4 linked regions of the Drosophila melanogaster genome follow. The gene in region 1 interacts genetically with each later gene. Each region holds a gene or a part of one and is shown in the gene's direction. Other genes may lie near its edges.

The links.
Region 2: of tut (region 1) and Wdr33, changing one enhances a phenotype caused by changing the other (phenotypic enhancement), as found in Drosophila melanogaster (one study listed by BioGRID).
Region 3: of tut (region 1) and Sym, changing one enhances a phenotype caused by changing the other (phenotypic enhancement), as found in Drosophila melanogaster (one study listed by BioGRID).
Region 4: of tut (region 1) and CG4612, changing one enhances a phenotype caused by changing the other (phenotypic enhancement), as found in Drosophila melanogaster (one study listed by BioGRID).

What each region holds. Positions count from the first base shown.
Region 1 is NT_037436.4:8,208,187-8,213,930, reverse strand, and holds tut (tumorous testis), read left to right. Parts: upstream 1-3,187; 5' UTR 3,188-3,259; coding exon 3,260-3,373; intron 3,374-3,439; coding exon 3,440-3,618; intron 3,619-3,673; coding exon 3,674-4,073; 3' UTR 4,074-4,354; downstream 4,355-5,744. Other genes in the region: CG8006 (uncharacterized protein), read right to left, coding at 455-1,966. UniProt on the Drosophila melanogaster protein: RNA binding protein that forms a complex with bam and bgcn, involved in 3'UTR-dependent regulation of a subset of mRNAs. Preferentially binds a long isoform of mei-P26 transcripts.
Region 2 is NT_033777.3:5,657,900-5,667,007, forward strand, and holds Wdr33 (WD repeat domain 33), read left to right. Parts: upstream 1-2,735; 5' UTR 2,736-2,926; intron 2,927-3,012; exon of another isoform or gene 3,013-3,025; 5' UTR 3,026-3,064; coding exon 3,065-3,349; intron 3,350-3,639; coding exon 3,640-3,909; intron 3,910-3,966; coding exon 3,967-4,118; intron 4,119-5,001; exon of another isoform or gene 5,002-5,163; coding exon 5,164-5,261; exon of another isoform or gene 5,262-5,317; coding exon 5,318-5,444; exon of another isoform or gene 5,445-5,519; coding exon 5,520-5,753; exon of another isoform or gene 5,754-5,818; coding exon 5,819-6,030; exon of another isoform or gene 6,031-6,093; coding exon 6,094-7,139; 3' UTR 7,140-7,270; downstream 7,271-9,108. Other genes in the region: CG2182 (uncharacterized protein), read right to left, coding at 1-33, 242-808, 1,636-1,731; Xe7, read right to left, coding at 7,623-8,076, 8,169-8,246, 8,299-8,358, 8,431-9,062.
Region 3 is NT_033777.3:5,736,419-5,745,127, reverse strand, and holds Sym (symplekin), read left to right. Parts: upstream 1-2,651; 5' UTR 2,652-2,999; coding exon 3,000-3,086; intron 3,087-3,156; coding exon 3,157-3,350; intron 3,351-3,411; coding exon 3,412-5,534; intron 5,535-5,610; coding exon 5,611-6,533; intron 6,534-6,639; coding exon 6,640-6,810; 3' UTR 6,811-6,950; downstream 6,951-8,709. Other genes in the region: Madm (MLF1-adaptor molecule), read right to left, coding at 1-160, 1,013-2,143; CG1236 (uncharacterized protein), read right to left, coding at 7,220-8,123, 8,200-8,339. UniProt on the Drosophila melanogaster protein: Component of a protein complex required for cotranscriptional processing of 3'-ends of polyadenylated and histone pre-mRNA. Involved in germline stem cell transit amplification, differentiation and mitosis-to-meiosis transition.
Region 4 is NT_033778.4:24,520,484-24,529,317, reverse strand, and holds CG4612 (uncharacterized protein), read left to right. Parts: upstream 1-3,228; 5' UTR 3,229-3,603; intron 3,604-3,666; 5' UTR 3,667-3,845; coding exon 3,846-4,544; intron 4,545-4,775; coding exon 4,776-5,000; 3' UTR 5,001-7,444; downstream 7,445-8,834. Other genes in the region: Brca2 (BRCA2, DNA repair associated), read right to left, coding at 1-2,081, 2,141-2,212, 2,273-3,017; Ir60d (ionotropic receptor 60d), read right to left, coding at 8,171-8,834.

The sequences.
Region 1 (5,744 bases):
TTGGAAAACTGCTTTTAGCGACAGTTTTCGCTTGCCTTTTTCCCGGCTTTTTCTGAATTCCTTTTTTTTTTTTGCTTTTTGTATTCTTTACCGACTGGCTTTGCTGCTAAATCCCTGCTTGCTAACAAAATGTCTATTCTATTCTATTTTAACCCTGTAACGCAGCTTCCGTTTCTGGTTTTCGCAAAGCTGCAACGGAAACATTGCATAACTAAAAAATAGCTGCTGTTTACGAGTAGATTGTTTGTTTATTGTGTAGTCATCTCCAGCTTTGGTCCCTTTCCCCAACTCGCCCGTTCACTTTGTATCCCTGTCAGCAGTTCTTAATTTAATAAAGCGTAGTATTTAAATTAATTAACGAGCAGCGTAGCTCGCGGTGTAAACGGGCTTACACAAAGGTGCAAAATGATATCAAAAATCTGGTGCGAGAAAAGTTGCGGATTCGCAGGATGCTTTACTGGAACAGTTGGTCCTTCTGGCGGAGCAGTGATTTGAGATCCCGGGCCAGCTGGTCGTGTTCATCCTCCAGGCGATCGAGCATCTTGCTAAGGACTTTATGCGTGACGATCCCGTGACAGTTGCTCCTGCACAGTTCCATGATCTTGGCCAGGTGGACCATTCGCTCCCGCTGCAACTCCTCCTGCAGCTCAATCTGGTGGCGCATCTGCTGTAGATCGTCCTCGTCGTACGATAGCTTCTGGGCCAAGATGCTTCTGCGATAAGTAAGCCAGGTGTTCTGTAGACATGCCATCACCTTATGGCGATACCACTTGAGCGCCACCCTCTCGAATCTTCGATCCAGAGCCTGTAGTTCCCAAAAATTACGAAGCCCAAATTTCTGGAAGCAGGTTTGGAAAAATCTCAACCGTTTGGATTTTCCGCGCCAGCGTTTCAGACGCTCCAAGGCCTTGTAGGCACCAACTATGAACCCTCTGACTCTCTGTTCAGCTTTCATAGTATCCATTGAGAGATCAGGCATGTCCATCACATCCTTCATCGTGCCATCCGAGTTGTAGTATGCCAAGCACTGGACACGCAGCTGTTCTCTACGCATCAGCAATCCCTGAACAGTTGGGTCCGTAACGCCAATAGGAGAATGGCATTGGGCACTGGCTCGCTCGGCAGGAACATCCTTATGAATCTTCTTTGGCGGCTTTGGCGGCGGAATCTTCGATTTATATTTTGATTCGATTGTGTTTTTCAAACGTTCGGCCATTTCCTCAAAGCAATCCCTCAGATTTTTCACAGCACTTGATCGGCGGTTGACCTGATCTATGACATTGGTGATCTTGATGAGTTTCTCTTGGGATAAGGAACTGGAGGAATGGGTTCTTCCGCTGTCAGGTGCATCCCGATTGAATGTGGAGCTCGATGGATGCTGCTTATTTCTCGAGAGCTCATACTCCAATAGTTCGACTCTCTTCTTCACAGTGTGACTATCAGCACCATTTGGGGACTCGAAGCCAGTCCTTGGATAAACTTGGCTATCCTTCGAGTCAGAGGATCGCGTATTTGTTTTTCGTATTATTGTCACAATGCTGGCAAAACTACTGGTCGTAGGATCATTTTCCGATTGTTCGGAAACCTCCTTGATGGGTTCCAGTTTCCTGGGTCGTAAAATTTGAGTCGAGCACTTCTTGAGCAGTGTAGGTGATTTGCCAGTAGCTAACTTCTTACATGGCTGGCCTCTGTACTCATCCAAAATTACGTTCAGATTCCTACTGTAGTTACGCACATCCGTGAACGGTTCCTTGAGCACTCCAAAGTCCTTCAAGTGGCCATGCATGAGCAGCATCAGGCTATTTCGGGCCAACTTCTCGCTGAGAGGAGCCTTCTCGAATATCTTTATCCATCTGGCCATGATGGGGCGATCCGACTGCTTAGCCCTTGCCTGATCGGCATACTTGTAACTGGCTAGCTGCTGCCTGAAATGGCGATCCAGTAACTCCTCGCTTAGATCCTTCATGGCCACATTCGCATATTCAACCGGAATCAACTGATTTTGTTCCCAAAAAATATTTGTAATTTTAATGATTTGAATAAAATGAAACCGCTTACTCAAATCGGGTAAGGAAATGCGGAAATATAAGTGGGACTAGTGGCCTTACTCGGCGACTGTCACCAAACGTCTCTCAACCGCAGAAAGGGGAGGGGGGTCAAAAGTGGAGCTCAGGGTTTCTCAGAGATGCTTCAAGTGGTGGGCCCACGTCTGGCAACAAGCACAAGGAGCAGCGACACTACACTTTAAACAAAGAATATCAGAGCTTACTTTTCAAAGAACTTAATGGATTTTCTTGTCGAAACACTCTTACCTGGTGCGTCTCTACACTACGTGGACTAAACTGGACTTCACAGTGATAGCTTTTGCATTTACCACTTCATTTAAGAAAACTGTTGTGTATTAATCTAACAACATGTTACCTCCCACAAATAGTTTAATGTCAGTAATTTGCTTATGGCCATTTCGAAACAATGAATTATTAGTGTAACAGCAGTAGCAACAAAACAGTATGCGGTTGCCACGTAAATTTTCATTAGCGCAGCGCGCGTATAAATTAGGAAAATGAAGCAGCAGCAGCGGCAGCAGGCACTTGAGTGCACCGCAACCTCCATCAAGATGCCCCCTGGTGGGGTGAGTGGGTGGTGGAGTGGGTGGCGGATGGGCGGCTTAACCGCAGCAACAACAACAGCGAATGCGATGCGAACCTACATACATACATACATAGGTGCTGCGGCTTGTGGCGAACTGTGAGCAAAAGTTGCAAACGACCGACTGCCTGCATAAATTTATATTGTTAAACATGAGCTAGAAAAAAGCACGCGCAGCCTGTCAAAAGAAAGCAAAAATAAAGAGCAAAGAAATTGCCTGACATGCAAAAAGCGGTTTGGAAAAAGAGTAAAGTAAATGCATAAAGTACATAGCAAAAATAGAATACCTTCGTATAGAGCTGAGTTCGCAGCAATGCCAAAAAAAGACCTCTTACGCAAAAATATAATATGAAAACACTCTCTATTTTACACAAATGTTAAACATTCAAACAAGTTCATAAACAATAATAAGTTTATGCCCCTCCGTTACTTTACCTAAGTGTTAAGTATAAAGAATTTTACCAACTTCATTGACTATCTGGCAACGTCGCGAGCGTTGTATGTTTTAAAGCTTATTTGGTCACACTAAATCATTGGCATCTTAGCTTTTTTTTTTTTTTTTGATGCACGCGTGTATGCTGTGTATTTTTTTTTTTTTGCTATTTTTAAAATGGATTTCGAGAGCAAATACTGCACCAGTCAAGTAAATGGCACTATTACCATAACTACGCGCAAAGTCCTTGATGAAAATCTAAAATCCTTACTGGATGAGGGAAAGGGCGAGGTGAGTGTCTAGTGAAGCATCTAGTCTCAAAAGTTTACGGAGACACTAATACGTTTTTGCTTCTAGCTGTTTCTCTCGTGTATACCGAGGAATCACAGTTGTTCTCCGCGGTGGATTGTGGAAGTGGCCAGCGAACTGGGTGAAGTTTACATTATGCGCTATAAGATTGATTTTTCGGGAAATTCTCGCGGCTACGCCTACTTGCAATATATCAATGTGGACCTCAAGGAATCGGCAATGCAATAGTACGTACTTCGTAATAATTTTCACATAAAACAGCACTAACCCTAATAATCCCAGTCTGCCAATGCGATTCCGACAGCTTTGCATGTGCTTAAGGGTGGAGCCATCGACCAACAATCGCGAGCTGGTGCTCAAAAACGTAGAATCGTCGCTTAGACCATGGCAAGTGTACCAGGAGATGTTGAAGATACATCCCTTTACCATCGTTCGAGTCTACGAGTATCAATTAGACCAGTTCTTCTATATATTTGAGTACCGCAACAACGACTCGGCCGCAAGTGCCCATCAGAGAGTAAGGAATTCGATCAGAAAATTCGGTGAGCATGCGCACATCTCCTGGTTGACTGCGGAGAACATCTTGAGCAGAGCCAGCGGTAGCTTCTGTTTTCAACGGGAAGTAAGCCAAAATCGTACTCGACGCGTTCCTCCCAGACAAAAGGGCTGTTTCAAGTTTTAAATGGAAGTGGTATCAAGTATGTTACTTTATTGGTTCATGCTACCAAATCCATAAGGCTCCAAATGTTTTGTTTGTACTACACGTAAGTAGGACGAAAATGTATAAAATACTTTAATACTTTAGTTATATTTTTTCTATTGTTAAATAAGTTTATAAGTAAAATAAGAGTACTCTTAAATAAGTCAACCATTTAGATATGAATGAAGATGTTTATTGCTTGATTTGTGTAAGTTTTTGTAATACGTGGAATTTGAAAACAAGAATATGTGTTTTGCAAAGTTAATCTCTGATTTTTTAATGAAATTTTAAAGCCAAATATCAAATCACTTTTAGAATGCATACTATACCTTAAAAAAAAACTAACCAAGCGGATTTTGGAATTCCTGTGGCTCTCTGGGCAGTAAATTATGTTGCTGCCCATGCGAATGTAACATAAACTTTCACCAGTTGTTAGGACAGGGGGAAATTATACACAGCATTGTTCCTGGCAAATCCTTTTGGCCCGCCGCTTCTCACTCTGATGAAATGCAGCCGCAGCTTGTTGACTTCATTAACTCTGGGCAAAAACAGCGAGCAGCCATAAAAATAAAAAAAAATAAAAAAAACAACACCGACAGCGCAGCGAAGCTGCAGTTTTTCACATGCAAATTAATGCAGTGTCTTTGGAGTGGCGGAGTGGCAGCCAGGACTTTCAGGGCAATGCGACAACCTGCGGCATAATGCAATTAAATGAGTGCAGCGAGCAGGAGTCGACGCTAGCCTCCGGCTGGCATTGTGTTGGACACGGTGTCTGGGTACCGGGTCTGACTCCAGATTACGGGTCTCCAAAGTGCAATGATCGACGGACGGGAGTGGAGGGAGCGCAAGACATCCGTCAGGCGAAGGATGCACAGGACGCGAGGTGCGAGGGACAGGTCCGCTGCGCATTCTAATGCGATTGCCGCACTTGACGGGATGTCGTGGCAGGCGGAAACGGATGTTGTTGTCCTGCTCAGCTCTGCACGGTTGCAATTAAATTAGAGCCTCAAATCGAAATGCAGCCGTAACATGATGATGCAAAAATAAGAAGCGACTGGCATATTCTGGAAGCCTCATAAATATTCATTGAATTAAGCTTAAGTCGAGACATCCTCTCGGGGCATTCAGGGAAAAACAAGCCGAGCTGAATGTTTTCCAAAATCATTTGCATTAATTTGTTAATTCAAGCGCGACAGCCACGCCCCTGTTCACTCGCTTAAAGCCCATTAAAATTTCAAAGCCATGCGAGGGATTGTACGAGTCTTAACCCATTGGCAATCCCCGGCGCAAAGCACTCCTCCGCTCGCCGTCGAAGGGTTAAAGTCATGAAGCCGCATCTGTGACGCAATTACAAAGGCTCGAAGTTTGCTTCTAATTTTGCTCTACTTGCCATCATAAAGTCATCCGTTTTTCAACTTACAGATGGGAGCCAAACAATAGTTTCCTTTACTTTTTATATCCTTAAAATTCGCGAAACCAATGAAAAAACAAAGTTAAGTTAAAATACGTTTTATTTTATCGGAATAGTGAAGATCTTGGTAACCATAAGAATTGTACTTTACATGCTTGAAAAACAGAGATATAAAATATATATATTACATGATAGTCTTATTGTGGTGCCCCTGCTTTCCTGGTCACCACTGTGGTGTGACC
Region 2 (9,108 bases), on another chromosome or scaffold:
TTCACCAATGAGTATTTTGTAGGCGCGCTCAATCTGCAAGAAAAGTGAGAAGAAGTTTGTTTAATAATATTGTAATGTAATCAATTTTTTAGGATATTTTGATAGTCAGCTCCGAAACTGTATGAAGAACTGCATTATAACTTTGAAAACTAAAAGCGTCCAAGTATTTGTTTTAATTAACTCACATTAGCAAACTAATGGAATCAATTCAGGTCATTAATTTTAATATCCTATATCTAACCTTTGTACGGCAGCCAGAGCAAAACTTGTGCTTCTTCAGGTAGTTCTCCAGTACGTCGTGCAATTCCTTTGTCTCGATGATGGTTAACTCGTTGCGGCAGTTACTCTTCATGGCGGACCACACCTCTCGCCATGTCTCCGAAAAGGGTTTGGCACGAAAGGCGTCCAGCGAATGAAGAACGCAGCGCGTCTTGTTTCGCAGTTTGTTGTCCAGCAGGTTGTTGAGAACCTCATGGTGCCGGTAGAGCAGCGTTCCCAGTGCCTGCGGAGTCTTAAGCTTCTCCTCCACAATGCCCAGGGTGGCAGTGGGTCGCAGTTCCAGCGGATCAAGTGTTCGGTGCCCCGTCTCGGTTAGTTGGTGAAACAACCGCTCTACGCGTCTGCGGCAGCCAACGCACTGGACACATTGATTGAGGACTTCCATAAAACTGGCACTGTCGATCTCCAGCGATTGCCGGCGCTCGGCCTCTGTGAGCAGTTTGAATTTCCGTGAAAACTCCTCCAGTTCACGTCCGCGGATCAGCGGACTGTCGATCACTAGACCTTTGCTGTTCAGGTCCATGAGCATCTGCAGAGAAAGTAGAGAATTTAATCAGGGGAGGTTATGGTACATAAATGGTATTGTGAGTATCTGATCTATTTGATCGAATGCACTAGTTAGCAAAGAACAACTGATATGTTTACATTAGTATTATAAAGAACTTTTATCCAACGCTGTAAGTAAATAAATAATTAGGATCGCGATCCAATGATATTTGCGGTGAAATGACCGACAGTATTAATATAACGTCTAATTGTTTGCATTAAATATAATAATCCGAGAAAACATACAATACATACAAAACAACAGCTGTTCTTTGAAAAAACTAACGGAGCTCTGGACACTGGCATAAATCCACCTTCAAACGTATCGATAACAATAGGGGTCGGGTGTGCAACCGATGTCATTAACTAGAGATTTTGGCCAGAGAATCTGAGCCTGAGAGATCATCACCTCTAGAGATGGTGACGGAGTGCATGCGATGTGCATACAAACAGGTTCGTGTTGTTGCACTTTCCAGCAACATGGCGGCCGTGGCCAGGGAGGCGGAGAAAGAAGAGTTCGGTGGGTGGTGACAGGTGCAGAATCATAATTGCAGCTCAAGTTCAATTAATAAATGCACGATACACACCAATTCAAAGCAAAGAGAAGCGAACTCACACTTCGTCACCATCCGCCACTTACACATAACAATCCGCCGTGTTATGAAAGTTTTTGGACCAAGTGCACGCACACACTCACAGCGGACGTCTCTGTTGTGTGTGCGTCTGTGTACGTGTGTTCTCTGCTGGCAGTCATTTTCTTTGGATAGACGGCCGTACATATAGCGGAAATCGGTGCGGATATATGCTTACCATTAATTTATCGCCAGCCACCAGGGGCAAATTTCTGCGACCAACGTAACCGGAGTCGTCGTCGTCCGTGTTGTAGACCTTTGTGAGTCTGGCCATTATGGGTAATTTGACTTCGCGAGCCAACGACGGGCAAAACGAAAATTCAGGCACTTTGCGACACAGACACACACTTTTCTCTAGAGGTCCGGGTGTGGGAAATGGAGATCAGAATCGACTGGCGTATGGCAGCAGCGTGCGTATTCACAAATAGTGTTTTGACAACAATATCCACTCTCTGCGCAGTTCGAGTGGCTTTGGGAACGCTCTAGAATCGGCTACAAAAGTGTCTTCTATGTCAAACACGTAGTAGGCAGCAAGTCGGTCCGGTCGCCATTAAAACGGAGCAGAGTTGCCAGTAGGGGGTGTTGATAATATATCAATGTATCGAGGTATCCAAGCGATATATTAGTATTTATATCGCGATATTATATCTGCCTAAGATCGTGAACACAATATATTTTTCGAATATTTCATTATATTTTCGGACTTGCATCTTAAAATGTAAACATAAGTTAGTCAGTGGTTTTTCAGTCAAATACCCGCATTAATATTCGTAGCATTCGAATCTCTTAGTCGCATTACTGTCATTCACTTTTCTTAACGGCTATTTTTATTGATTGAAAATTATTTCCAGAAAATATTGTAAGAATAATGTATTCTTTGCTGAATGCTGATAAAGAAAACCTAAAACTGGTGACTGTGTAACTAGCGGAGGCAAAGTACATTTACCGTAAGTAAACTAAAACTAAAAATAAAAAATATGATTTATTTATTCAATAATTTAAAATTAGTTGGATAGGCCTGTCTGGCAGCACACTATCGCTACGCTACTATCGCTACGCTACTATCGCTACCACAAACATATCGAGATCAGAAGAACCAATTTTTGCTGAATGTTTAGTTTTTAAATATTATTAAGAAAAAATAAATAAGAACCTGAGAAAAACAGTGGTGACAACTCTTACAAATCTTTCAAAGAAATAAGATAAGCATGCATAAAACTGACAATTAAATTGTAAGGCCATAAAGATAAATAAAATTGATTCAACTCCTGACTGCTGTTATATATCGATAACATTGCAATCGAAGCACACGCTGGTGTCCGCGTTTCGTCGTGAATTCCTCAAATTCGCGTTGTTCGGAAAGTTACTAGTTATTTGCAACGCGGCGATTTGCAGGTCGTTTTTACCTATTTAGTCTAAGCATTAGTACACCCACCACCGCGCCAATGCCAACACTCTAGAAAACACGAGTAAGTAGAGCTTTGCGTGGGTAATAGCGTCCAACTAATACGCCCACTACGCCTTCATCTGTGTGTGTGTTTGTGTGCGGGCGAAGACATTTTTTGCAGCCAAGCGGAAAAAGAGGCATTGGAAAAAACAGCCGCAACATGGACGTATCCCAGCCGCCACCGCAGCTGCTCACGGCGCCCTCGGCCCTGGCCACCAACTTCACATCGCTGCCCCCGCCGAACATGGGCGGCCAGCACTACCGTCACTACCATCCGCACCATGGGTCCAACAAGCACGGCTACAACCAGTTCAAACCCTTCATGCCCGGCGGCTTCCAGCGACCCTTCGGAATGTCCCAGGACGACTTCGACGGCAAGCGACTGCGAAAAAGTGTGATGCGGAAGACAGTTGACTACAACGCGTCCATCATCAAGGCACTGGAGGTGATTCCATAGGTCATTTAGAATGGAAGTAGATTGACTGCGAAGTTTTGATTTGTAGTCGCAGAGAATTGTATTGTTATTATTATTATAAGATCAATTCACCCCCATTAAAAAAGTTCATTTCAAAAACCATTACTAGAGCTACACATTTAAAAGGCCAATCGCTATAACATTTTGTAGGTTAATACGCGGTAAGCCCGTTACCTGGGCTACCATTTTTAATTAGTTTCGGACCTTGTTATGTCGATATCCCATTTTAAAATTTCAAAAATATATTTTTGTTTTCGCAGAACCGATTGTACCAGCGGGACTATCGGGACCGTTTGGCTTTGCAGCCGGACAGCATTTATGTGCCCCATATGCTGCCGCCCTCTGCCTACTTGGACAATCCTTCGAACGCGGTGACCACAAGGTTCGTGAAGACGGCTACCAATAAGATGCGATGTCCGATTTTCACACTGGCCTGGACGCCAGAGGGCAGACGTTTGGTAACCGGGGCCAGTTCCGGCGAGTTTACGCTATGGAACGGACTAACCTTTAATTTCGAGACCATTCTGCAGGTGGGTTTCCGTCAGCAGATCCCGTGGGATCACGTCTAATCTTATGTTGCCCAACAGGCCCACGACATTTCTGTGCGGACGATGGTGTGGTCGCACAACGACAGCTGGATGGTGACCGGCGACCATGGCGGCTATGTTAAGTACTGGCAGTCCAACATGAACAACGTGAAGATGTACCAGGCGCACAAGGAGGCGATTAGGGGAATAAGGTATATAGTTGTAATTGTCGAATGTATTTACCATTTTGTAGCCGATGACACCAGCCGACCAAGGCAAAACCAAAGCCAGATTCGCGTTGCTCACATAATTCCTTTAGTTTGGGTCGCTTGGGCAGTCATGGGTATTTATTGTTGCCTAATCAACTTAGTGGATCGGTTCCCTTTAGGGCTGTTGCGAATACATATCAATAAAGCCGTCAATATAGCAACATGCCAACATATAGCTTCGCCTTATTGGCTACATAAGTTTTAACCTCGCCTCCACTAGAACAAAAAGACTCAAATATGTTGTAAGCACCGAACTCTTCTGTGATATATCAATAAAAAATGAAAAATAAAAAGACAAAGTGAAATGATGCAAATGCAATATTGAGAAAAGCTAACAATAAAACCATCTGACTGAGAACAAATGAAACCTTTGCACAATTTTCTTTCCGCGGCCACAAAATCAACAATAAATAAAATGCATTGTGTTGCACTGATTGTTCGAAAAATCGGGGGTTTGAGTGTTTTCTTTCTCAAGACTGCCGAATAATCCTGGCCCAAGGACAATCGATCAAGAAAATCGGCATTATATTTATATAAATTATTTAGAGCTGTGCTGGTAACAATTTACTTTTTTTGAAGAAAATCTTTTGGTAACTTTTAATACGCTCAATTATTTTACATTCACTGTAATTTAAGAGGATTTATTTATTCGATATCTGTAAGTCAAAAATAAATTTTTAAAGCATATTTAAACATTTTATTTTGCAACAGGCCGGTAAAAGATTTTATATTATATTGTTTCGTGTCACTTAAAATGAAATGATGATTCTAGATCGATTTTTGGAAGTCAAATGTTTTACGCACTGTAAAGAGTTTATATTGTATTATATTATTGTGAGCTTCGCGTACCTAGTCAAGTAAAACTTGATCCTGAATTTAAAGTTTAATCAATCAATTCATCAAACTAACTCCGCCCACACTCATTATCATCATTTAACCCGTGTTTTGTTACGTTCTAACGTTCTCCAATGCAATCCACCAAACTCAGTTTCAGTCCCACGGACAGCAAGTTCGTCAGCGGCAGCGACGACGGAACCCTGAGGATATGGGACTTCATGCGGTGCCAGGAGGAGCGAGTGCTACGAGGTGAGATTTAGTAGGAGGTAGTCCCAATACAGAGTCTAACCATGTATCTCAAAAAGGCCACGGTGCTGACGTCAAGTGCGTGCACTGGCATCCACAAAAGGGAATGATCGTCAGCGGAAGCAAGGACAACCAGCAACCCATCAAGATTTGGGATCCCAAGAGCGGCATTGCCCTGGCTACTCTGTGAGTATTTCTTTTTGGATGAATCTTTATCATGGATTCTACTGCACATACTCACATTTTTTCAATCATCAATAGACACGCCCACAAATCCACCGTGATGGATCTGAAGTGGAACGACAATGGCAACTGGCTGGTAACCGCATCCAGAGATCATCTGCTCAAGCTCTTCGACATTCGCAACCTGCGTGAGGAGGTTCAGGTCTTCCGTGGCCACAAGAAGGAGGCCAGCTCCGTATCCTGGCATCCCATACACGAAGGCCTCTTCTGCTCCGGCGGCTCCGATGGCTCCATTTTGTTTTGGAATGTTGGGTGGGTCTTAGCATTCTGTTTACACTTTAAAAGATAAGTGGATTAATGACAATCCCCGCTCGCAGTACCGACAAGGAGATCGGCTGTGTGGAGACGGCACACGACAGCATCGTTTGGACTCTGGCCTGGCACCCACTGGGTCACATTCTGTGCTCCGGCTCCAATGATCATACGATCAAATTCTGGACGAGGAACAGACCGGGAGACCTGATGAGAGACAAATACAATCTGAACACATTGCCCGCCAGCCTGGCTGCTCTGGATGAGTGTGAATACGGTCTGTTATCCCTTTTTTTGACCTACAAAACCAATGCTTTTATATACCCTTTTCTCCCAACAGATGATGCAATTATACCCGGAATGGGACCCGAGGACCGGGTGGAGTTTACTGAAAGTTTAACTGCCGACAAAGGCTTTATTCCTGGCTTGGATTTGGATCCAAGCAAAGCAATAAATGACCGCGACCGGGAGAAAAAGGTTCCCTACAGCAAGCCCATTCCCCGCAATTTCCAGGTGAACTGGGCAGGACCCCGGCGAGCGGACGATCCCAGCGTGCTCAGCATTCACGAGGAGCTGGCCGCCCGAGAGGCCAAGGACACCACCAATGGACTGAACCACCAGCAAATCAGCGAGAACACAATGGAGGGCATCCTGGCCAGCGGCATGCTCAACGGCCTCGATCCACAGACCATTGTCGGCGTTCTCGTGTACAACCGGTTCATTCGCGTTCACCCGGACTCTCGACTGATGGCTGCTATTCGTCAGGGAGCCGAGTTTCTCAACAAGTACATCGACGCTGGCAAGCTGGAGGAGCTCAACGATGTAGTCCCAGTGAGGGATAGGTCCAGATCTGTATCACCCACAGTGGAGGCACGTGGGGAGATGGTCTCCCCGCCCACCAAGAAGTCCCGCTTCGAACCACGTCAGCATAACGCCCAGTTGGTGTGCGTTCGAGAACTAATGCAATGTAAAAAGCCCTTTCTGCAGTCACTGGTCGCGGCGAAAGCACAGCAACCCAACACGGAGTTTGTGGATGAACCGCCGCTGGAGCAAAGGGATCGGGATCGCGAACGAGAAGGAGATCGCGACAGGGAGCGGGAGCGCGCTCGCGAACGGGAGAGAGACCAATCCGGTGGCAGGCCCAATCCCTGGGCTTCCAATGCACCCTGGTCGAACAATGGCAATCCTGGTGGCAATGGCAATGGATCCAATGGCTTTAGCAACAATGGCGCGGAAAGTTTCAACGACCGGGATCGCGGTGGCGGTGGCCAACGTCGCCGGCGTGGCATCAACAACTCCGGTCCTGGCAACGGCGGTGGAAGTGGTGGAGGAGGTGGCGGGGGCAGTGGCCGAAATCGCGGTCGCAACAACAACAGACGTTACTAATCGCTATCCCACCAACACTGTTTTCTGCCAATCTCCTTTGCATCTTTTGCTTTGTAATGCTGAAATCAATTTATATTATGAAAAGAAAAGAAAAGAAATTCGGTTTGTAATATATTATACGTGTTGTGTGTAATTTTCCGACTTTTTTTAAGAGTTTTTTACAATGGAGTCTCTGGAATAGGAATTTTACTTACATGGATATTTGTTTCTCTAGGAATAATCAAGATTTAACATTTTATTCTGGTTTTCGAACCATTTAGGTTGAAGATGAAAGTTAGCATTTTAGGTACTGTATTGGCAGTTCTTTTAATTAATTCCGATAATTACAATTTGATGTTTTAGTAAATGATGAGATACTTTGCACAAATTCGCTAACTTAATTTTAATAAAACTGAAAATACACAAGACAAGTGTAGTTGGAGAACAACTTTGATTTACTTTATTAATGGAACTCCTACTAACAACGAAACTAGTGAATACGTTTCAGACAGCAAGTGAGTTGCGACGACTGCTGCGGCTACTGATGCTGCCACGTCTTTCGCTGGCTTCGCCTTGCGGTTCGGCGTCCATGTGGTTGCTGCTGTGGCTGTTGGTACGTGGGTGTCTGAACTTCTCCTTGATCTCACGCTCCTCCTCGCGCATTCGATCCTTGGTGTGCTGGTCGATGGTGCGCTGTATTTTCTCGGCAGAAGCCACCAGCTTGTCGGCCTCCAGGATGACTTCTTTCGGCGTATGGCTGCGGCTTCTGCTGTTACTGCGACTGCTACGATGTCGGCCCCGGTGATCCCGGCGGGAGCTAGATTGCCTGCGGGAGTGCGAGCGTGATCGCGACCGGGAATAGCTGCTGGAACGAGATCGGCGCGTAGACGCCAGCTTTCGATTCTTGCGCTGTGACGGCGTTTTGCTGCGGCTGCGGGAGGATCTGCTGTGGCTGCGCCTGAAAGCAATTGAATATTCGGGAACATTAATAGTAAAAATTAAAAAAAAGGTAAGCGAAGGAACTGGGAAGGTCCTTTATTTTAAATTTACCTGGATCTCGATGAGTAAGATGACTTTCGGTAGTGGGAGCGACTTCGTGACTTCGAGCGCCTGGAACGACAAACAATTCTATATTTTTAATAGTAATCTATAGAGATTATAAGCATCACGCATTAATTACCGGCGTCCCCGGGAGCGGCTTCGACTCCTTGAATACGACGATGAGGAACGCGACCTATTTCTGAAAATCACAAAGTGTAAAAAAAAAAACATTTGACTTAAGTGTAACACAAACTTTATGCTGGATTCGTACCTCCCCCGCGAAGACCGGTGGTAGTAGCCATTCTCGTTCTCGTCGTCGTAGCGATCGTGCTTCGTGTTGTAATACGTGTCATATCCGGAACGACTCCCTCTTATGCCGATGCCACGACCTCTTCCACGACCGCGAGGTCTCGGAGCAAAGCCACGATAATTGCTTGAGACTGGGAACGGTGCAGGTGGCCGATAAAGCGCTCCGGTAAAAACTCCCGGCAGGCCGTATCCGAACATCGAAAGCGACTGCATCCATTCGCTGGCAACCTTAGCACTGTAACCTCCTGGTCCCGGAACCGCGCCAGCGGCCATTGCGGCCACCGCATTCAAAGGGTTCAGAGCAGAGTTGACATCGCCTGGTGGCGCAGATTCTGTTACGCCGTTTCCCATTTTGTGTCGCTTACTGGCCGCCGCTTCGTCTTCGCTGCTGGCGTCTACGGGCACAGCGCTCTTCTTGCTTTTGCTCTTCAGAAGGCCCAAAAGAGGAGTATTGCTTTTTATTTCCTGTACGATTTTGCGCTGATCACAAACAAGTTTCTCAGTGGCAGCCTTGTACTTTTCGACCAGACGACCACGTTGGATGTCCTTGTCATCATCTTGTTTGACTCGCCGGTTTTTGTCCCTTTGTTTTAGCTGTATTAAAGAATAAAATATAAAAAAGTATTATTATCACTGCTGT
Region 3 (8,709 bases), on another chromosome or scaffold:
ACTGCCGCTCCTGGCCGCCGGCCAGCCGCAGCTGGGCCATAACCACGTCCGGCTGGTAGTATCGCTGCATGAGGCCGTCGAAGGCGGTTTCCGAGAACATAGTGCGGTTGGCGGGCGAGAAGACCAGGCAATGGGCAGTCAGCAGTTTGAGGGAGTGCACCTGTAGTAATAGCAGCAAAAAATTGATTATTAACTACTGAGTTTTTCAGTTAATTACCTTTATAAAAGTGTTATAAGAATACCTTGCAATGTCATTTGAACCATGTACAAATTTATATTTTAAAGTCAACAAGAGCGAACGCTACACTGTTTTTCTCGAATATCAGACTCAAGTTGAAGTGCAAACGAGAAGTTTCCACACTTTAAAATGGCATACCAATGGATATTGACAAGACAAATAAGACCAAAGTATCGGCGTGGCAGTTCTATGGGGTTTCCGTTGGAGTGGACGATTCTAATGAAGAATCGCTAACAATATAGGGCTGAAAACGATTCCTTCTACCCGTTAATTTCCTCTTAACGAATATAGTAACAGGTATGAAAATAAAACAACAGACCCTCAGTAATCAAAATAAAATGTATAGTTACATATTAACCACAACTTGAACTTAAGATATAAGTGACTGTGAGCAATAAATAATATACTACAGTCAAAATGGATTGTAGAATTATCAACTGATTACTAGTTCTCCTTCCATTTATATACATATATATATAATATACACATGAATATAATATATTAAATTCTAAGATAATTTACGATATGATTCGGATAAAACCAAATTTAGAACTTAAATATTTAACGGTGCATTTAAATCATATAATTATTCAAATCTTCAGATTTCAATTATTTACTTAAAATAAAATTTAATAATATCAGGTGTCTTATTAAACTAAATCTCTCACTCGATGGATCCGAGAATTAGAATGCAAGGTCTAGTTGACAAGGCAATTGTTATGCGGGTCTTGAATTTATAGCATTTAGAACAAGATAATTGACTTGAAAACTCACCTCGAAAAGCAATGGGTGAAAGAGCAGATCATTGGCGCTGGGTCGGTCCTGCGGCTGCGGGTTGAGACACTTTCGTATCAGGTCGCGCTGCAGATCGTTTTCCAGGCTAAAGATTGTGCGCTGGATGGTCTCCTCGTTGATGGCAGTTGACTCGCTGTTACTGGGCTGGATTTCCAGGGCGGCCATCTCCAGGGCACACATCCCGAAGGCGTAGATGTCGAGGGCGGCGGTCAACTGGTCGGCGGCGCCGTACTCGGGCGCCTGGAAGTAGTGGGCGCCTCGTTCGCGTTCACGCTCCCGCTCTCGGCCGCGCCGGACGCTGTAGTGGACCGCGTCCGGGACCACCGAGCCGATCTTGACCAGGCCGTTGTGCTGGATGAAGATGCTATCACAGGTTAAATTGCCGTGGATGATGGGCGGCGAGCAGGAATGCAAATAGCTGAGTGCGGACAAAATCTGAGTGCACCACCGGCGCCACGACTCCAGCGGTAGCCGCTTGGCGTTGCGCTTGGTGCGCTTGAGGAACTGTTTCAGCGATCCGCTCGACATGTACTCGGTGATAAAGACCACCCTGGGTCGCTCGGCCTGCTGCGTGTCCGTCCAGTAGCGGTGGAACTTGACAATGTTTTGGTGGTCCAGCTGCAGCAGATTGTCGAACACCTGCCGCATCTTCTCCTCCTGCGACTTCAGCTCCTGTAGGCTGGCATATTGCACCTCATTCCACACGACCTCTACGCCCTCCTCGGTGTCCATGGCCAGATGGACGCAGTCAATACCGGGTACGTCACGCTGATCCACCTCCTCGCGTCGCTTCAGCCAGCGTCCACATGGCGACTCCTCCAAAATCTCGCTCTCATCCTCCGAATCGTCCCCGGACTCGCGTGGCGACGAGTCCAGATTGACGCCCTCGCTGCCAGCTACGACGCCGACGCCGACCGCAGCGCTGCTGCCCGCATCAGCTGTTGAGGCACTAACTATGTGCGGCGGGGGCTGCTGCGTCGACTGCGACGGCGGGGTCGCTGCTGGGCAGGATGCACTTACGGGGCCGGCCGCCAAGGAAGGGTGGTGCTGGATGGGTTCATCCGCTACCGTGCTACCGCTGATGCCGGCATTCGCTTGGCTATTTGACATTAGGGTGCGGTCACCGACGCGGCTGCGGCTGTTGAGCAGTGCTGTTCCAGTTCCAGAAGGCCTCGTCGTCTTCGGTTTCCAGTGTTTATTTTCTTTGTTGGACTGCCTACGTTTGCGCTAGCTTTTCGTGGTATCCACTACGGGGTCCGGGCAACGAGCTACATCCGCCGCTGCTCCTCTGCCGCTGCCTCTGCCCCACTCACTGGCGCACACATACACACGCACGCGCCCACACAGCTCATCCACTGCACCCCTCGCCCAGTAAACACTCCGCTGCGACGGCTGGCGGTTGCTGGGACGTTTTTCGGCACCTTCGACGGCGTCTTCTGTTCCAATCCTCGACTGCGTCGCGAACTGCGATCCGTTTGTTGCACTTTCTGGCCTGACACGCTGCCGATTCGTTTATTTAGGCGTTTTTTTCACGCTAAAACACCCAAGAAATGTGAGCAAATCGATGCCTCTGGCTTATCGATAGTCACCCCCGCATATCGCTCGGCCAGCGCAACTGCGGCATGCTCATCGATAATAACGCGTTAAGCTGAGATATGCCAAAAATGGCTTAATTTATGTGATTTATTAATTTTTTATACGGTAACGAGCAAGGAAAATTAGTTTGCAGGCGGTTCATTTGATTATAAGCCAAGTTTTTAGTAAAATATTCTTTTTCTTTTGAACACATTAAGAGCTGGCAAAAAATAGCTAGATGGTCCGGAAATATGCAGAATTACCAACATCATAGAACCGTTTTCGATAGTTTCTCAATGGTACCGATAACACCTTGCCATCCGTGCCGGCAGCTCTTAAAAATATCCGAAGTATCGCAGATTTAGGCAAAATCTGCATCAATTAACCAAACATGGATAGCATAATTGGACGCAGCCAGTTTGTCTCGGAGACGGCCAATCTGTTCACAGACGAGAAGACAGCTACGGCAAGAGCTAAGGTAGAACACAAATCTTAATCAGACAAGACAGTCCGGACTGCTGTATTGTACCATATATTTTCCCATTCAGGTGGTCGATTGGTGCAATGAGCTGGTCATCGCATCGCCTTCGACAAAGTGCGAACTGCTGGCTAAGGTGCAGGAGACTGTGCTTGGATCGTGCGCGGAGCTGGCCGAAGAATTCCTGGAGTCCGTGCTGTCTTTGGCCCACGACTCAAACATGGAGGTTCGCAAGCAGGTAGTCGCCTTCGTAGAGCAAGTTTGGTAAGGATTTCCATCAAAGGATCTAACTTCTTGCTGAAACGATTTATATTTTCCATCCCAGTAAAGTGAAGGTGGAGTTACTGCCCCATGTCATTAACGTCGTGTCTATGCTGCTTAGGGATAACTCGGCTCAGGTAATCAAAAGAGTGATCCAAGCCTGCGGTAGCATCTACAAGAATGGATTGCAGTACTTGTGCAGCCTCATGGAGCCCGGCGACAGTGCGGAGCAGGCGTGGAACATCCTCAGCTTAATCAAGGCGCAAATACTGGACATGATCGACAATGAAAACGACGGCATACGTACAAATGCCATTAAGTTCTTGGAGGGCGTCGTGGTTCTGCAGAGCTTTGCTGACGAGGACAGTCTGAAACGAGATGGAGACTTCTCGCTGGCAGATGTCCCCGATCACTGCACACTATTCCGCCGTGAAAAGTTGCAAGAGGAGGGCAACAATATTTTAGATATCTTGCTTCAGTTCCACGGAACAACGCATATTTCCTCAGTGAACTTGATTGCCTGCACAAGCAGCTTGTGTACAATTGCCAAAATGCGACCCATTTTCATGGGCGCCGTGGTGGAAGCCTTTAAGCAGCTGAATGCCAACCTGCCGCCCACCCTCACTGACTCGCAAGTAAGCTCCGTGCGTAAGAGCCTTAAGATGCAGTTGCAGACATTGCTGAAGAACCGCGGTGCCTTTGAGTTTGCAAGCACTATCCGAGGAATGTTAGTTGATCTGGGGTCCTCCACAAATGAGATCCAGAAGCTTATTCCCAAAATGGACAAACAGGAAATGGCTCGTAGACAAAAACGCATCCTCGAAAATGCTGCGCAAAGTCTTGCAAAGCGTGCGCGCTTGGCCTGTGAGCAGCAGGATCAGCAGCAGCGAGAAATGGAGCTAGACACTGAGGAATTGGAACGACAGAAACAGAAGTCTACTCGAGTTAACGAAAAGTTTCTGGCAGAGCATTTCCGTAATCCTGAAACTGTTGTGACCCTGGTGCTGGAGTTCCTGCCCAGTCTGCCCACTGAGGTGCCACAAAAGTTCCTTCAGGAATATACACCCATTCGCGAAATGTCTATTCAGCAGCAGGTAACCAATATCTCCAGATTTTTTGGCGAACAACTATCTGAAAAGCGCCTAGGCCCAGGTGCCGCAACCTTCAGTCGAGAGCCGCCAATGCGGGTTAAGAAAGTGCAAGCGATTGAATCAACACTAACTGCAATGGAAGTGGACGAGGATGCTGTTCAAAAACTGAGTGAGGAAGAGTTTCAGCGTAAGGAGGAAGCAACCAAGAAGCTGCGCGAGACCATGGAGCGCGCCAAGGGTGAGCAGACTGTTATTGAAAAGATGAAGGAGCGCGCCAAGACGCTGAAGCTGCAGGAGATCACCAAGCCTCTGCCACGCAACTTAAAAGAGAAGTTCCTAACTGATGCAGTGCGTCGCATCCTCAACTCGGAGCGGCAATGCATTAAGGGAGGAGTGTCATCAAAGCGCCGTAAGCTGGTCACCGTGATTGCTGCCACCTTTCCCGATAACGTACGTTACGGCATCATGGAGTTCATCCTGGAGGATATAAAACAGCGTATCGATTTGGCATTTTCCTGGCTCTTTGAGGAGTACTCTCTGCTGCAAGGATTTACAAGGCACACTTATGTTAAGACAGAGAACAGACCCGATCACGCCTACAACGAGTTGCTGAATAAGCTTATCTTCGGCATTGGAGAGCGTTGCGATCACAAGGATAAGATTATTTTGATTCGTCGAGTATATCTAGAAGCACCCATTCTTCCGGAAGTCTCAATTGGACATCTAGTTCAATTAAGCCTGGACGACGAGTTCTCCCAGCACGGCCTGGAGCTAATCAAGGACCTTGCAGTGCTTAGGCCGCCGCGAAAGAATCGTTTCGTTAGAGTGTTGCTCAACTTTTCTGTGCATGAGCGACTGGATCTGCGGGATCTGGCACAGGCCCACCTGGTCAGTCTGTACCATGTACACAAAATACTACCGGCTCGAATAGACGAATTCGCTCTGGAGTGGCTTAAATTTATCGAACAGGAATCTCCGCCGGCAGCTGTTTTCTCGCAGGACTTTGGTCGACCAACCGAGGAGCCTGATTGGCGGGAAGACACTACCAAGGTGTGCTTTGGTTTGGCCTTTACCCTGCTGCCCTATAAACCGGAAGGTAAGTTGTTGCTGTCCCGTATTAAAGAAGAAAAAAACTATTAAATCAATTTCTTAATATTCTCTTCCCCTGATAGTTTACTTACAGCAAATTTGTCAAGTGTTTGTTTCTACATCTGCCGAACTGAAACGCACGATCTTGCGCAGTCTAGATATTCCCATAAAAAAGATGGGTGTAGAAAGCCCGACGTTGCTGCAACTAATCGAGGATTGTCCTAAGGGTATGGAGACCTTAGTGATCCGTATAATTTACATACTGACAGAGCGAGTGCCATCCCCCCATGAAGAATTGGTTCGGCGGGTTCGGGATCTCTACCAGAACAAGGTCAAGGATGTGCGCGTGATGATACCCGTGCTAAGTGGCTTAACCCGATCCGAGCTAATTTCCGTTCTGCCGAAGCTGATTAAACTTAATCCCGCTGTGGTCAAGGAGGTTTTCAATCGATTGCTTGGTATCGGTGCCGAATTCGCGCATCAGACGATGGCCATGACCCCCACTGATATTCTCGTGGCTTTGCACACCATCGATACGAGTGTCTGCGATATTAAAGCCATCGTTAAGGCTACATCCCTATGTTTGGCTGAAAGAGATCTGTACACACAGGAGGTACTTATGGCTGTGCTGCAACAGCTTGTAGAGGTTACTCCGCTGCCTACTCTGATGATGCGCACAACAATTCAGAGTCTAACTCTGTACCCGCGTCTGGCAAACTTTGTAATGAACTTGTTGCAGCGTCTGATAATCAAGCAGGTCTGGCGGCAAAAAGTAATCTGGGAGGGCTTTTTAAAGACCGTGCAGCGCCTGAAACCGCAGTCAATGCCGATCCTGCTGCACCTTCCTCCCGCCCAGCTGGTGGACGCACTGCAGCAGTGCCCCGATTTAAGGCCAGCATTGTCGGAATACGCGGAGAGCATGCAGGATGAACCAATGAATGGTAGTGGTATAACCCAGCAGGTTCTGGACATCATCTCCGGGAAATCAGTTGATGTGTTCGTGACGGTAACTATGCATTTTTTGATTTAGTCTTAAATGAAATAATAGTAACTCAAATACCGAACCAATATCGAAGACGTTCAGCTACTACATACGAGTATCTTCTTTTCAGGACGAAAGCGGCGGTTACATCAGTGCCGAGCATATTAAAAAAGAGGCACCGGATCCATCAGAAATTAGTGTCATTTCCACAGTGCCCGTACTGACGTCTCTAGTACCACTACCAGTTCCTCCCCCCATAGGCAGTGATCTTAACCAGCCCCTGCCGCCTGGCGAGGACTAGTTGCAGTTTAATTGTTTTGTTTGCTCATACACATTTTTAAATTACTTAATAAGATAAGGTCTATAATTTTATAAACTCACTGTTCTAGGCGATAATACATAAAACCAAGGTCTTGACCGCACCCACATACATTATAAAGGAATATAATTTTGTTTGTTAATGATCAAAAGATTGGGAGTATACCCCACGCAAATAACACAAAAATTTCGATTCTGAGTGGCCACGACCATTTACGGATCAGTTCATTGCGAGCACTGTCATCGGCGTAATACAAGTGTTTCAATAATTTCAGTACCTTTAAAATACCTTTGAAAGTACGAAATATTTAATTAGAACATTGTACATAATTACAAACAGATGTTTTTAAAAAGATGTGGAAAAAATTCATTGTACGCTGAGATTACACGGCTTACAGCTCTACTTCGGCTACCATTTTATCGCCAGCTAAGGCAGCAAGAATATTTCTGGCTGTAATCCGGGACATTTCCTTGCGCGTTTCGATGTCAGCGCTGCCAATGTGGGGGAGAATAACCACATTATCCAGTTTCAGAAGAGGATCGTCGATTGGCAATGGCTCCGGCGTCGTTACATCCAGACCAGCTGCTAGAATTCGTTTGGTTTTCAGTGCCTCGTACAGGGCCTTCTGGTCTACAACGCCACCACGCGCCGTGTTGATAAGAATGCAGTTGGGCTTCATCTTCTGAAAGGCAGTGGCATTGAAGATTTCCTTAGTCTCCGGGGTTAGGGCGCAACAGACTACGATTAAGTCCGACTCGCGAAGCATCTCGTCAAAGTCCACGTGCCGGGCATTCACAGCAGCCGCCTCCTTGGGGCGCAGTGATCGTGTTGTGTATGTTATCTCCGTCGGCTTAAATGGCACAATGCGTGCCGCTATCTCTTGGCCGATGCGGCCGAAGCCCAGCAGGCCGACCCGGGAGCCCTTCAGTCCCTGGCCGCACATCCACATGGGGGCCCACGACTTCCAGCCGCCGTTGTAAACCTGCTTGTTGGCCTCGAATAGTCGGCGGTTGGTGGCCAGAAGCAGGGCAAGCGTTAATTCTGCCGTGGCATCCGTTAGGACGTCCGGTGTGAAGCCCACTCGAATTCCACGTTTCCTGCACTCCTCCACGTCGATGTGATCGTAACCCACCGAAATAGTTGCCACGCACTTCAACTGAGGACCGGCAGCATCCAAGACTTCCTTGTCAACCTTGTCCGTTAGAGCGCAGTAAAGGGCATCTTTTCCGGCCACGACGCGGATAAGCTCGGAGCGGGGCACCGGATTGGTCTCATGCCAGGTACTCACTTGGCAGCTGAGCAAAATCGTGCATGTCGAAATTAGTGTCTATGCTAATAACTAAATAGCCGGTTACAACAACAAAAACAAACCTCTTGCGCAGCAGCTCCAGACCGCTGTCATCCACATCCGGCCTGGTTACGTACACCTTGTGTTGGGAGCTCATCCTTCGAATTATGTGTCCCTGAATCAATAAGTTTCTGACTTGTCCGAACGGCAACCGCGGTGGCATTGAGTTCAAAATTTCCAAGCAAGTAGGTAAACAAAGTAACAGGTTCCGTAAGTGTGCCCGAATTTTACATTACACATTAATCCGCTAAAAAAGGAATATCACAGACATCGGGGATCTCGACTTTAGACTACCCTGTACATCGGCTTAAATTTTTAGCTACTTATTACCACTGCCTTTACCGCCATAGTTTAATTTTTTTATTCGTATTTTTATATTTTCATGTTGAATATTAAATATATATAAATAATATTAATACCACACTCAAAAAAAATATTATGAATAAAAGTATATTTACTTTTTAATGATAACGGTATGTCTCTGTCAATATCTTCTGTCAATATCTTTGACGGAAAACATCAGAATTATTATT
Region 4 (8,834 bases), on another chromosome or scaffold:
CAGACCAAGTCTTCGACTCTTTTTGGGTTGCATGCAAATAGGGGACATGTCCTCCGCATCCTGTCTATTCTTTGTACAGTCCTTGGAGCGATTTAAGTCCCTGTCGGCCAGCGGAGTACTTGTCGAGGAAGGCTTGGGAGCGAATCGCTCCATAGTGGGTAAGGCGCAGGAAGTGGAAGTTTCAGTTGACAAAATGATCTTTCGCTTTCTTTTTAGTGACAGGAGGTTCCGGCGAGCTATTACGGACTTCTTGGTGGCCTGGTCCAGTGGTGATTTGCCGGCAAGTTGCGATAGTGAGGAGTGGATCTCCTGCGACCTTCTGGGTGTCCTCACCAATGGCTGGCTACACAGCGGATGCTCTTCCTTTGCAGAATGCTCCACGAAGAAGTCGTGTTTGAAATGCTCAATATCTGAGGTATTTTTTAGACTTTGTACATTGCAAAAAGTTGGCTTGTTGGCACTGTCTTCTGCCGCCGCTTCATCTACGAACTTGGCATCAATATTTCTCGATTCCTCAGAGATCACAGTTGGTTGGTTCGAGTCAGTGCTTGCATCGGCGGCTTGAAATTCACTCATGAACTGTGCAACTTTGATTTTCGTATTTTCCGAAATCACAATTCCTTTATTTGAAGCGGTACGAAAGCCGAAGAATTCGGTCTCAGATACGGTTTTAGTATTCACAGCCTTATTATTTTCAACATTTATTGAATGAATCTCATTGTTTGGAGAGGTGGGTAGAACATCAGGAAAATCGCTTGGCTGCCACCCGTTTAATTGGTCTGTAGCTTTAGACTGGGCCAGAAACATGGCTCCTCTCTTCTCCATCGCCTCGGTAATCTCAATGGCTTTGTTTGACGCTGTTCTAAAGCCGAAAAACTGTGATTCATTTAAGTCACGGCAAACTGGGTCAAGTGTGGGTTGATGCGGTTCCCGCATTGTAGTATCAACGACCACCAACTTGGAAGCTTTCGATCGCATTTCCTCTGAACTCTCTATTGATCTTTTTAAGGCTGTATCAAGTCCAACAGACGTCGGTTTGTCATTTGGCTGATGGACTAAATAATCATTTTGTTGAATTGTTTCTTTGGATTGAAACTCAGCCATAAACTCTGCAGTTTTGATTTTCATCTTCTCAGAAATCGGAATTGCCTTATTTGAGGCTGTGCGAAAGCCACAAAACTCGGGCTCTGCTATAGTATCGTTATTGAGAGGACTGAATTTTCCATTTATTTCTCCAACGTCAACTTTAGCTATTGCATTGTAGGTTTCCTTACCATCCAATATTTCGATGGGCTTGCTTGGGGCTGATTTGAATTCCGCACACTGTGTTGATTCCATTACTTGACTATGATTATCGGAGTATTCCTCAGTACGTAAGTTGCACTTGTGACTAAAGTGATATAGGCCGGATACAACTTTGTCTACAAACTCTTCGCCTTTAATTTTCATTTCTTCCGAAACCTCGATAAATTTGAAGGACTTCTTTCGAATGCCATTAAGTTGATGACTGCTTATGGTCTGACTTTTATTAGGAGTCTGCTTTTCTGGTTGCTCCTTGTCGTCCAGATTTATTGAATTGATGTTTTCTTTAGGCCCTTGAATTGCGTTTTTGGAGGTTGATGGGCCATTAGAGCACTGCATTGGTTGCCAATCATTAAAAAGAAACTCCTCAAGAAGCTCGCCGTCGTTCAATAGGTTTTCTTGCTCTGCAGCATTAGGCTGATCCAGAATAGTAGTTCCTTCGTTTTTCGTGTTAATATCACAAGATTGTTTTGAGGCTCCTCTAACCTTTGATGCATTTGAATCTTTGCTACTTTTTTGTTCTTTCTGGGAACTTGGCTCCAACTTTAACTTTTTATCGGGTATATGTTTGATTACATCTTTGGAGATCTCGGGCAGTTCCATCGGAGTTAGCCATTCACTTAGTGGTATGCCTTCTAATATGAAGTTTGTGTTCTCCTCTATGTCAACATTTTTTGCTTGCGTTTGGCCCATCAAAAGTTTCTTATTTTCAGCAATTTCGACATCAGCTTTTTTCAATGTAGAGTCTGCATCAGACCAAACATTACGTTTTCCACTTTCTATAAATAAGGGTTTATATTAATGAACTTCGCAACAACATAAATTGCATATGAATTACCCAATCGGAGGCGCGTAGTGGGAACCGATTGCATGCTATCGCCATAAATAGTGTCTGCCATAGTTCCTGGACCTACGTACATATAAAAGGAGTTACAAATGTGTTTCTTGCCATATCGATCCCACTCCCTACCTTCCTGCTCATGCTCATTTTCATAGAAAGAGGCCTCAAATGTAAATCCGCTCTGCAACAGGTCATCCCTCAAGTTCTCCAATTCAGCGTTGAAACACTCGTCACCAGAATCCTGCCTTGCTTCGGTTGGCAGATCTATTTGCGATGGGACAGGAGTCGGACCGGAAGCTGTCGCGGTCGCGGAAAAGTATTGACTGAGGTTCAAAAGGACCTCGTGTATCTTCTGTGATGAAGCATCGAAATCACAAGCCATAGATGTGAACGAAGTATTGAGATCCCTCTGCACGGAGAGGCCTGAGGAACCTCTACGCTTCTCGTTTTGAACGGCCTTGTGGCTTTTGGGATCCCTCTTCCGGCTGTAGGTTCTGATCCTTTTGTTGCGAAATCGAAACCACGGCTCCGACTCATGGCTGGGCTCATCCTCATCCTCTGCGTATGTTGGAGACGAGCAAAAGTCGCTCATGATCATCTCGACCTGGTCCTCGGGCGTGGGCTCTGCGTAGGACAAAATAAGATCCTCCACGGCGACGAAGTCGCTGTTGTCCACCGCAAGCCGCTCGTGACCCCGAGTCCGTCGAGCGATGGCGAAAGTCTGGCGATCGGCTTCGCATATTTTGGCCATTTCGTCGATAATGTTACTCCGATTTGCCGCCGCGGAAACTGTGGCGCCACGTTCGCGCGCATGGGCTCCTCTTCCTTGGGATAGCCTGTTCGGATGACTTCCCGATGCGCCATTCTGGTCCATCACGTCATCTAATTGTTTAAATGTGTTTTATTTGAAGTAAGCAAGTGTCCAATGCTTTTGTGGTTGCATTTCCAAAACAAGGGGTGCAGTGTTGGTAAGCGTTGCTTTGATGGCCATTATCCGCTAACTGTGGAGGGTGGACTTGCTAAGCAATCGGGAGCGAGAAAGTCATCGATGGTATGGCCAAGAACATGAAGGCCTCACGTATCGATGGCAGATGCATCGATGTTTTTTAACATCACTAATCACTAGTAGCGACAGTTTTTGCATAAAATACAATTAAATAATAAAGGGCCATCGCCGAAGCTGCAAAAACCAGGTTTTACACTGCTGCAATTGCTGAAGAGTCTAGTTTAGGTGCCACTCGAAAACAATACCGGAAAGTGTTACGCGAAAGCCCAGCAGAGCCCCAAAGAATCAGCCCAAAAGTGAAAGCCCCCAGAAAAAGTAAAGTACAAAAGAGCGAAAGGAAGAGCCAGAGAGGTAAAGAAAGAGAGAGCGAAGAGCGTTGAAAAGAGTCTGTGCGAGAGAAAAACGATTTTTTCAACTCCGCGAATCCTTGGTCATATTCCGTGTGCAAATCCTGGTAAGTGGGCATTCCGCTGGATTACGACTAGATTGGCCATAACGCAGATTCCCGACATCCCAGGTAAATCGGGAAGTGAAGTGAAATACTAGGACCAGGACAAGAACGCCGTCAAGATTCTCGGGCCCATCTACAGCGGTATCCAGATCCAGAGCCACGGCCACCAGGACGCAGAATCCACCTACAGCACCTACAGCACTCCACTAGCCGCCACCACGCTCCACAAACAGCCAGCAGCCATTATGTTCGTCAACTCCATGACGTTCCGCGGCAATCCGGCGAACTACCACCAGCAGCAGCCGGCCCTGAACCACCACACGCTGGCAGCGGCGCACCACCAGCAGCAGCTGCACCACCACGCCGCTGCAGCTGGTCACCTGAGCCACGTCGGCGGTGGGCACGCAGCCAGTAACCACCTGGCGGCCGCCGCTGTTCTCGGACGGCATGGCCACAACTCCCTGGGCAGCGGGCACACGTCCACGTCCTCGCACTCGGCCAATGTGGGCGTGGGAGTCGGCGGGGGAGCTCTGGCTAGCGGCTCCACTGGGGGCAGCGGAGGCAACAGCTCTCCGGACAGTGGCAAGATCTATATCAAGAACCTGGAGCGGTCCATCGACAACAAGGCGGTGTACGACACGTTCTCGGTGTTCGGAAACATCCTAAACTGCAATGTGGCCAAAGACGAGGATGGCAATTCACGCGGCTATGGGTTTGTGCATTTCGATTCGGAGGAGGCCGCCCGAGCGGCCATCGAGAAGGTGAATGGGATGCTGTGCAATAATCAGAAGGTGCATGTGGTCAAGTTCATACCACGGCGGGACCGGGAGCAGGAGAAGGCCACGCACTTCAAGAATCTGTATGTGAAGAACCTCAGCGAGGAGTTCACCGAGCAGCATTTGCGCGAGATGTTCGAGCCCTACGGCCGCATCACCAGTCACAAGGTACGTTGTTTGGTCACCTCATCTTCCCTACGGGGATGTTCGTGGGGCCGGGTGGTTGGACGACAACCATGTGGCACAGTTTTGCACTCTCTTAAGTCCTCTCTTGCGCCATTGCTGCGCATGCCCATGTAGCCACGAGGAGTTTGTGACGGCGGGGAAGATGAGGACTCCACCTGGCCCATCTGTGCTAATTTGTTTATATCATCGATTTGCTTTCTCCGATCCTTGCAGCTCATGCTGGACGAGGAGGGGCGCTCCCGGCGTTTCGGTTTCGTCGCCTACGAGAACCCACAGTCGGCGCTGGCCGCCGTAATTGGCCTGCACGGCAAGCAGCTGGGCGACAACAAGTTCTTGTACGTGGCAAGAGCCCTCAGCAAGGCCGAGCGGCAGCAGGAGATCAATCGCAAGCTGGAGGAGCGCAAGCGGCAGAAGGCCGGCCAGATATTCTACTACTAAGGCTTCGGCGGCGGCAGCTGATCCAAGGACATCGCTAGGAGTTGACTTGGAACCCACACACATACAATACACACCCATATATAAACCTATATAGATATTTACGAGAAATTGTATCGAGCAGCTAGGCGGACATTCAGGCAGCAGACGGACGGGAGGCAGCTCCTTCGCATATACACTTAGATGTAGGCAAAAGTCTTGCAACACAGTTGAAATTTATAGAAAGAACACAGGGCAGAAACAAAGGGAGGGAGAGGCAGAAAACGAGCTCTCAACCGAAAGGATTTTCTAGGCATTAGGACAACAATTTCTTAGCACTCACTAGCGTTTTTTTGGAATTAGATGTTTGTCTTTACTGTTGAATTTAGTGAGCAGGGGCTTTGCTGTCAGCTTCTCGCCTAAAGAACACATTGCGTACACACACGTATTTCGAAATGTATTTACCCACACAAGGCCAACTTTCACACTGGCCCCTTGGCATTAAGTCTAGATCGTGCGATCGCAACTAGAGCTACGCCCAGCTCAGTCCTGGGCAACATATGAATATTTACACTTACCTAATATATATGTATTAAAACCAAACTAAACCAAGAAACAAAGCAAAACGAAAACAAACAAAAAAAGAACAAAAAACAAAATGGAAAAACGGAAAAAATACAATTGATGTAACCCCTATTAACAAGTGAAGCACCCACTCCACGTATATACATAACATATACATATATCTAATGTAACTCCACACGCTGTAGTTAGAAAGCGTTTATAATACTCACAACTCCCTACGCTATAACTAAACTTTTGACGAGGAAATCAAGTGCAACCATTGCGAAAGCGAACCCTACACGTAATTTATAGAGTAGACGCCGATGCGGACGAGGAATAGGTCAGAGCTGGAGAGGAGAGATCCGATATGGAATTAGCAGGGGCCCAGCGCCTATCCTGCGGACAGTACATGAGTATTAAAATTTTAGCGATTACAAGACATTTTTGTAATTAATTGTACATTGTTTCAAGTAGCAGAAACTAAAGTGAAACCACAAAACAGGACAGCAAGACAGTAACGACCGTAATGTAACGTGAACAAGATGAAAGTGAAAAACTAATTGAATGTAACCAATCCAAGAAGAAGTGTACACAGTGCAATGTTTAAATCTTTTAGAATATTATTATGGATACAAGGCACGAAAGAAATCGCAAAATCGAAATAATTCAAAGCACGCTGTATGTAGGCAGGCGTGTGTACAAGTTTGAAATGAAAGCAAATACATGCATAATTTAAGATTATTGAGCTTAATTTTTAAAGTGTTTCCGAGAACAGAAAACGAGAGCAAAGTGAAAAGTAAGAGGAAATTATTAAGATACCCTACAACGCTAAACTCACTCGAAATTTGTAAGATTCAAGTTTTGCGTCTAGACATATACACAATGTATAGTTAAACAGTACCACACACAAAAGAGGAAAATTAAACGACATAAAATAGTTATAACGATGGCAATATTTAGGATGGCATAATTAACGAACCCTCATTTGACCATATTTATTTCCATTACACTTCATTTTGAGCTTAGGTTGCCCGCTCCCCGGGGAGCTGGCGATGTTACGACTCTAGTTTCCAGGACAAAGTAGGATTAGGCCTCCACAGTGTAACTCACACAGAACATATGCAATATGAATTTACAAGACAAGCAGGAGAAATTACGCAATTGAATAATATTTACACGAATGTACAAAACAAAAGAGAAAGAAATGAAATTTATTTTCCTTTGCCAAGCAAATGCAACATACTTCTTATTATTATTATTACGAATTATAATTGTAATCGAACTTCATCTTTGGTAATTGCTTTTGCAGAATTTACCTAAAAACAAAATAAACGAGAAACTAAGGAAAGAAACACCCAAGGATAACCCTTTTATAGTGCTAAATTTTTAGAGTACAAGAAATGTTTGTTCAGTCTCACAAAATTAATTGATAGTCCCATTTCGAGTCCCATTTTGAATCCCACACTCCACACCAAGTTTAATCAATTGTGCACGTTTGCTAATGAGACACCACCATGCCACACCACACACGACACCTGCATTCGAATCTACTCACAAGATCCTAGTTTATTTGAACCTTTGCTTGGACTGGGGCGTTTGTGCCCCTCGAAGTCCGATTTTAATGACTAGCGAACCCACAAGGAGCACAGATAATAGCGACACGGATGGCGTATAATATATGCATTATATATGTAATTCCATTGAAGCGAAATCCTAATTATAACATATTACGAATACCTACTTATTAACAAACCTAAAAACAATCGAAAATGAATAATGAAAAATGAAAAATGAAAAAGAACAAGAAACGGAAAACATTTAACGATGAAAATCAAGATGCAGTGAGCAGAGACATGTGAAACTTGAATAAAAAAATGCTTTTGCAAAAAGTGTTTGAAATTGCGACCCGTCGAGTTCTTAATTATAAACTTGATTTGATTTATCCTTAGTACATTTAAATGGGTGGTCGTCTCAATAGATCCCACTTGAAGCAAGCGATCTCCACAGCTAGCATCCCTATGCCGATCATGGTGCCTCCCAAGTAGGCAATCCAAACGTAGTACAGGTCGTGATAGGGCGATCGTGGTAGGGCGATGGCGCGGGATCCACGGTGTAGTTCAGTTTGTCTCCTCAGCAGAATCCAGGCAAACCAGAGCTAGCATTTTCCTGCTGACTCTTCCTTTAAGGTAGATACTTTGATTAGCATTGAAGTTCAGGTGTGGGTAGCGTTCAAGGTCGAAGTGCTCCCAGCAGACATCGTTCCCTCCAGCGCCTCCAAGGAAGAGTAAGGTTTCAAATGACAGCTCCAGCCTTAGAGAAACAAGGATTTTGTTCAGGTAAAGCACTTCTTGTTGGGCACAAGTGAAGCCCAAGCAAACCACTGTTTGCTATATTTAAATGGAACCGCATCTTAGAAGCAACGACTTCGGCATATTTCTGCAAAAGTTCTGGCTGGGCTGCATTTATAGGGCCGAAACTAGTTGGTAGTTGGGAGTTGGTAATAAATTTCCAATCACGGGCAAGACTAAATCTGTAACCATTAACCCGTGCAAATGAGAGAACGTTTAGCATTCATTCGTGGTAATGTGGCCTTTATTGGTAGTCTGGTTGGGGAGATACGAATAATCCGTTTAGAGTGAGGAGTTCCCCAAGTGCCACCTGTAGTGAGCTACCTCCAATAGGAGCGCCAGACAACTAATGATAGTTCCTCCCAGGAAGGCCAGCCACACGATACGAAAGTCGTTCCACTTGAGATCGCAGTACGGGTTACCCTCCTCCTCCTTGTACGAGATCTTCCCGAGAGCCACCAGTTCGTAGTAGCTGCGCCGGAACCAGTAATAGTACAGTCCGGTCTCGCGAGTTAGAGCAGCATAGCGGAGAAGGGACTTGTGGAAAATTGAGTTCCGTGGCAGCGGCAAAGACATAACTTGAAAAGGCTGGAGCACCATGTCGTAGGATCGTCGGAATAGGGGTCGCCGTAGCCTCACTTGGGACAGCTCTAGAAAGGGCCAAAGGCTGGTGGTCACTGGGTAGGCGTAGGAGGGATCCATTGAGATGCGCCTTCTCTGGAAATCCGTCGAGTTCGTGAGCTGAAATATACTGCCGTAGGCTGTCATAAAATCTGTGCCCAATATCAATGACATGTACTTGAACTCTTCGGGGATGGTAAGGACTTTTAGATGCAGGTAGCGTAATTGATCCCACTCCAGGATTCGATCACTCGCCGGCGGATGTACGAGCCACGTCGTCAGGCTGGCCATGTAGTAGTTGCTCAGAAAGAATCCACTTAGCAGG